2 linked regions of the Nothobranchius furzeri genome follow. The protein of the gene in region 2 interacts with the protein of the main gene of each other region in a pairwise test. Links are inferred from orthologs where the notes say so. Each region holds a gene or a part of one and is shown on either strand. Other genes may lie near its edges.

Region 1 (4,040 bases), about 42 Mb from region 2:
AGGCAGACAGACAAAAATGATTTTTTACAGATCATTGGCTTATCATGTCAGTGCCATTAGAGAGCCGACACTGGCCCGAAGCACATACTGTAGGTGGTCATTCCACCCCAGCTTAATGTTCATGCTCAAAATGATTATTTTACCATTTAAGTCAATTATTTTGTTTTCAACCAATGCCAGTTGAGGTCAAGTATTTTTAAAAACCTAAAACTACATAAATTAAAGTGAACATTTTCAAAAATTTAAAGCACCCAAAGAACACTGGAGCATAAACCTGTAGGTGTGTTGTAATAAAGACCGACCGACAGACACATAAATAGCTGTCAGATGTTAAACAATACATCTGTTTATATATTTTTAATGTAAAGAAAATATCAGCTTAGCTGGATTATTAGATTTCCAGTTTGAGACAAAAACGTCTCGGTCATCTGCTCTATGTAAAAGATTTCATCAGTGATTATTTTATCTTGAATAAATAACTAAACTAGAAAATGTGATCTAGAATAAAAGACTGACACTGAAAAAACAACAATAGATTCTCAACAGATATTATTAATAGCCATATAGAGCCTTTCAACTTTAATCTGCTTCACTAGCTGGATTTATTTAACTGGAAACTGTGAACGCGTTCAAATATATATACCCAACTCCTACTTTACAAAACACTTTAAGAAACATTTGATCTTACCAAAATATCAGCAGGTTAGAGCTTTACAAGAATCTGTCCAGTAAAATCAAATCCCCCTCAATAATTTCAGTAAACTCGCATTTGCTGCTTGCTGGCAACATTCAGTTATCTGATAAAGTGAAATCATTAGTGAACACCTACCACTGGTGACACTAAATGGTTAACCAGTTGATCATATGAGTGTTCTGGAGAACAGCAAAGTGACTATCGTACCTCTGGAAGGTAGATCAGGAACTGGTGTTGGCTGCACGTCCTCTGGCTCTTCATCAGTGCTGCCTCCATACTCATCCTCCTCCACCTCACCACCCTGACCTGCTGTTTGGTCTGACTTTGCAGAATCTCTGCTCCTCTGTCCATCAGAAGTCCTGTGGAGGAGCCACATTAGAATGATACAAAGCTTTTTAGGTCACCGCCAAACTTAAAAAGAAACTCAGTGACTCAGAAAATGTCATAAATACAGAATCAAAGACATTTTTTGAGCATCTGAAGCTCTGAAGAAAATGTGAGGCACCTCAGCATGCTGAGTTTGTGCACCGATGGTAAACTTGTAAAGATGGTTAATGTGTAAAACGTACTTTGCTTCCTGCAGGTTTGTGACGGTTTCCTGCAAACTGCGGATCTTTGCTTTCTTCTCATTGAGGACCAGAACAAACCGAGAGTACAGCTCTGCCTCAAGGGCCTCTTTACCCTCAGAGTAGCCCTTCAGCCTGGAAGAGGAGACACGCAGGCGCACACACACACACACGCACACACACACACACGCACACACACACACACTGATTCTTATCCGGATATAATCTGACTATATTTGTGATCTCACATTTTAACCTGATAATTAAGAGGCTCACAGAGGACAGATAAGAGCTGGCCTCCAATAGCTGTTTCCCTCACGTGACATCTGCAGCTGTGTGAAACTCAAATAGGGGGTCGGAGTAAGTCATTCCGCTCTAAGAGTCGTTTTGTTCGCGACCGACATCACCAATTCGTAGCCTTTCAGTGTTTCTGAGCAATGGTACTGTCTGGCCTATATGTCACCTTGAAGCAGCGGGATTTGTTTGTTTGCTGTGCACGTGTGTGTGTGCGTATGTGTTTACTGTGCAGTGATGCTCTGGTGTTCTCGTCTCAGCCTCTGGTTCTCCTCTGTCAGTTTGTGGTTGCGCTGCTGCAGAGTGTTTCCTCGCTGCAGACTGTGGATCAGCACCTGCCTTACTGCCTCCACTGGCTCCGAGACGGCCTTCAGATGGACACAGCCCAGTCTGAACTACAGCAGACACAAATAAACCTTTATTTATTGAGTACGCCTGAGCCCGTAAAACAACGGTGTCTGGATCTGCACATCTACATTCATCCATAAAAAATAAAGCATCTCAAATGTATTCATTTCATGGATTTGGCTGATTGATTTGTTTTCTAGTTTCTTTGGTACATTATCAGCAGTAGCCATGGTATATGGGTCACTCTTTCTTTGAAAATGCTTGCTGGATTTAGACAAGTTTTATAAATTGCTTCACACTGCTTTTCACTACAACCCCATGTTTCTAAAGGATGGGAAGCAGTTTCAAACGTAAACTAAACCAGAATTAAATGATCAAATCTCATCAACCCATTATGATTGAATAAGTACTAATTACTGTTATATTTCATTATTCCTTTAATTCCTACTGTATAAAAAATATTTTGTATGTTATTTGTGCTGTAAAACATTTAATCACTACAGTAAAGTTAAAAAGGAGCCTAAGTCTCCTCCCTTTCCAGTCGGCTCTTGGGTCACCGGAAGAACAAAAAAATGAATGCAAGTCAACGGGGCTAAAAGAGCTATTTTCTAATCCACTTTGCCTTAGACCCTGGATCGCACATATGTTGTACTGCTATTTAAATGAAAAGTAATGTCGGGTGTTTCGACCACACCTGTCACATACTTTGAGATTTATCAGCTTGTAAAAGTTCATAATTAGCATGGCTACAAATCAGACATCAGCACGTTGCATATGTGACCTCAGAATCTCCTCTCCACTAGCGTAGCTGCTACTTACCACATGGCCATATTTATGGTGGTTCTTTCCTCCTGAAGGAAGGATTTGAAGTTTTCTGAACTTACAGCCATTTTCTCTCTGTTTTTATCCGTGCCTGGTTCGATGATGTCACTTTGGTGATTCACATTTGTAGTCCTGGGCTTATTTTCACACAAAATCTAAAATGGTGTTTCTCTCCGTTCGAAAATAAGCGAGTTCTTGGCATCAGACTGAGTCTTTAAAGTTCACGGACATCATATGTGAAATCCATGGTACATAACAAGCAGAAATAGAAAATAACTTGCATTCATTTTTTCTTTCTTCCAGGGACCCATGGTCCAGAAGTAGATGGGTGTGACTTAGGCTCCCTATCGGCGTCCACAATGCTACACCATTTTACCCTTACACCGTTTATAACAGACGTCTTTTCAAAATTTCAGTGTTTATATATAATAATAAGTATAAAGGAATGAATCAATTAAATAAATTGGACTTTGTCAGGAATGTAATCGTTCAAACATACCGGTATTATTACAACGCAACTTAATAGAAACGTGGTCCTCCAAAGAAGAGGCTGAGGGTGTTGACGAAAAAATGACAACCTGAGGAGGAATGTGTGCATGAGTGAAGCTCATATATCTTCATGTTGATGCCTCATGGTGTGGGTGAATGTCTGCAGGCATGTATTATTGGGGAAGTTGTGACTGAACAGGGAGAGCGGTTGTACACGTGGGCAAGATACTAAACTCAGAAAGTTACCATCTGAACAGCAGCTCACTGCTCCTCAGGGATGGGTCAGAGAGGAATTTCCCCAGTAAATGAAGACAATTTCAAAGATTACCTAAATTTGCAGGCATACTCGTTTTGATCAGAGTGGGATCATCTGATAGGAATACCTTTAATCTCAACTAAAGTAAAGCCTTTTTCTTGATTATTCCTTGATCTGATTCTTACTCAGGGGAGTTAAAAAAAACATCTTTCATTATGTATGATGTATTCTCACCTTCTGTATTTCTTCTGAGTGTTTCCTACTTGCCAGCTATTACTTCACTGCCTTATGGAAATGTTAAGTAAATAAACTCAGGCTGAAATGCTCCTTGAAGTGGAAACACCTCTTCTGAGTTGCTGAAGCCCCTCCAGTTATTGCCTCACCACATTCACCCAGTCTGAGGCTGTAACTCTGCTGTCAGCCGTCACCCGAGCGCTCATATCAGGGATCTAGATTGCTAAGCTCCGAGTCAGACTAGATATTGTTGACATCTTTGAAGCCAACAGGATGGACAGGAGACGGTGTTGAAATGGGAATCAATTTTCTGGCTCATATTCACAGTAAATTACTG
Region 2 (2,816 bases):
ACTAGTATGGCAGAGGTTCGTAAATCCAGACTAGGGTTGTCACGGTATGAAAATTTAACGTCACGGTTATTGTGACCAAAATTATCACGGTTTTCGGTATTATCGCGGTGTTTTTTAAACGGTGTTGCATATGTTCAGAAAGCATTGATAGTCCTGTTCTACACACACTGAAATAGTTTAGAAAAGGTTTAACAGTGTTTATTAAACCTAAAATAACACAAAGCCTTAGCAAAAGTGCAACTTTTCACAAGTAAAGGAACAAATAGCTTATTTTTCTGGAACATGTTACAGTAGTCAGTGCAGGTTTAAATGATACAAATCCAAACATTCGAAACATAAACAATATGTAAACAAATCAAAGAAACACCACTTGTTTTCTCATATACTTGTTTTCTTCTTTATCAAAATGAAAATCTAAAACTCCAGTCCACACTTGACTTGAGCACTGTACAAGTCAACCTTAAGAAATATGTATTTAAAATAAATAGCCACTTTAAACAAATTACTAAAATAACTACTACACTATGTAATCAAATCCAAATGTTCAAGTATAAATGGCATTGAATAAGTAAACAAATCAATGACAAGGAACTAATTGTATATTTCTCTTCATCATCAACAAATAAGATGCTTCATCCAGCAACAGGGTGTCCGTGACACGGTTTAAATGCTGGCAGAGGACGCTGCGGCTGCAGCATATAGTGACTCGTTGCATTCTCCCTCAACCAAAAGTCCTCACGTCATGCATTTAAGCTAAAATGCTAATGCTAACTTACCTTGCACTGGCTGTAGAGACGTGAGTGATCGTCACACAGATGTGCCATTAGATTCAAAGTGCCTTCTGCAGACACTTGTTTCCTGCACCTTCTGCAAACGGGATAGCAGTCTTCTATTAACTGTCCCTCAGCGTTTTTCAGAAATCCAAAATATGCCCATACTTCCGATTTAGTCTTCTTTGAGGGCTGATGGATGTCCTGGGCGCTGCCGTCTCCTCCTTCGGCCGTTATTTCAGCTTCAAAGTTTTGGTTGCAAACTAAAAAGTGCGTGTGCGCGGGAACTTCAGCAGAAGCGACGGTGGCTGGTAAGGGTCACCGCGCCTAAACCGCGGCCACGGTAAACCCACCGAGATAATTTAGTTTTTTAAAAACTGGACTGTTATTTTTATTGTCAACTTTTTTTACCGTTTACAGCTATACCGGTTACCGTGACAACCCTAATCCAGACATTTGTATGATTCAGCTCTCAGAGATCACCGTGATCAACACGTTGTTAATAATTCTTGGAGAGAAATAGCTCGCACTGTCGGAAAAGACGAGGACGCGGTTAAAAAATGCTGGAATGCCATGTTGTAAACAACAGTACTTTCTACTTCTACTATGGTGTAGTGTTGGATGCATGCTGTAGAGCTCCATGCTGCCCCCTACAGTTTGGGAGAATATTGGCTCACCGCAGAGACAAGCCGCATGAACCATAAACGCTGCGAGTTGTGACGCGCGTTCCATCCGCGAGCCGCATCACCAAGCGGAAAGTAAATGCATCAAGCATAAACCAAGCTTAAAACTCTGGTAGGGGGTGACTTGCTCTTTAAATCAATATTCTACAATCTGTTTCAGTCACATTCACCTCCATGTGATCAGCCAGGACTTCGACTCTCCCTGTTTGAAGAACAAAAAACACTGGAACTCTTTTACAACCGACTACTTCATGCCGTCTCACGGTGAGAACAAATATTGAGTTTTTGGTAGCTCAACAGTCTTGAAAGACGAACCAAAACACACATCTGGGTTTTTCTTCCTACAGACGTCATCCGGATGCTTGAAACAGACGGGAGGGTGACGGTTAAAGAAGGCACCAGTGAGCTGTTGAAGCTGCATCTCCGCTGCCACGTGTGTCACAGAGAGATTCCCACCATACCTGCTCTGAAGGAGCACATCAAATCTCACTTTTCCAAATGACACATTGGTTTAAAGAACTTTACAAGTTCTTTGTTCCTATTTTGTAGAAAAATGTTTAGTTTCAGCAAAAACTAAAAATATTCAAATAACAAAAGTGTCGATTATTTCAGTTGAATTTTTAACAACGTGTCACATCAGGCATTAGGACAGTTAAGTCCAAGTTGTTTTTGTTACCATTATCGTTACATATGCTGCATTAAAGGCTATCTAAGAGCTAAATTCTGTTTTTTCTCTCGACATGAAGCATATTCAGGAATTTTTAAAAGATGGCTGCCTTATTTACAAAAGTTAATTAATAGTGAATCACAGAAAATTTGAGGAACTGCAAACCTAAGCCGGTGTATTGCTGCCCCCTGCTGGTTTTTGTAGGTTACATCATCCTAACGCGCGAAGCGTTCAAATTTGTGTCCCTAAACAGCAACTGTTATTTCAAGATGGCGCAAAGCTGGAGCGTCGACCACGGGTATGTGTCTAAAATGTAAAATTAAAAGCTAATAGGAAGACTTAGAATAAACGCTGGTGAGTAATCTTAATTAAAAAGAACAAGTCTGTGAATGGGTTACACAGAATATGATAATAAACACACTGAGCCCAGATTACATTCACAAATTCCACCTGTGTTAAAACGTTACATCTAATTCAGCAAGAAGTCATTTTTAACATACAGTGTCAATACTTTTCAGCTCTGCATTATCTCTGGTAAAATGATACACGTTAATTTTGATGATCAGTTGTTTTGCTGCCAATCAAAAAGGGCCGTTTAGAGGCGCTTGTTGTTTTATTTTAGTGACATTTTGTTCCTTTGTCTCCATCTAGTGTTTAATGTGATGTTTGTGACATTTCGATTATAAAGTACCAAAT

What was found. The genes of interacting proteins can lie anywhere in the genome.
Region 1: the proteins of aptx (region 2) and xrcc4 interact in binary tests that used the Homo sapiens proteins (3 or more experiments, as listed by UniProt). The link is inferred for Nothobranchius furzeri from reciprocal best matches to the Homo sapiens genes APTX and XRCC4.

Annotation. Positions count from the first base shown.
Region 1 is NC_091746.1:37,559,046-37,563,085, forward strand, and holds part of xrcc4 (DNA repair protein XRCC4), read right to left. Parts: intron 1,950-4,040; coding exon 1,783-1,949; intron 1,396-1,782; coding exon 1,264-1,395; intron 1,054-1,263; coding exon 902-1,053; intron 1-901.
Region 2 is NC_091746.1:79,989,160-79,991,975, reverse strand, and holds the end of aptx (aprataxin), read left to right. Parts: intron 1-1,613; coding exon 1,614-1,717; intron 1,718-1,800; coding exon 1,801-1,955; 3' UTR 1,956-2,174; downstream 2,175-2,816. UniProt on the Homo sapiens protein: DNA-binding protein involved in single-strand DNA break repair, double-strand DNA break repair and base excision repair.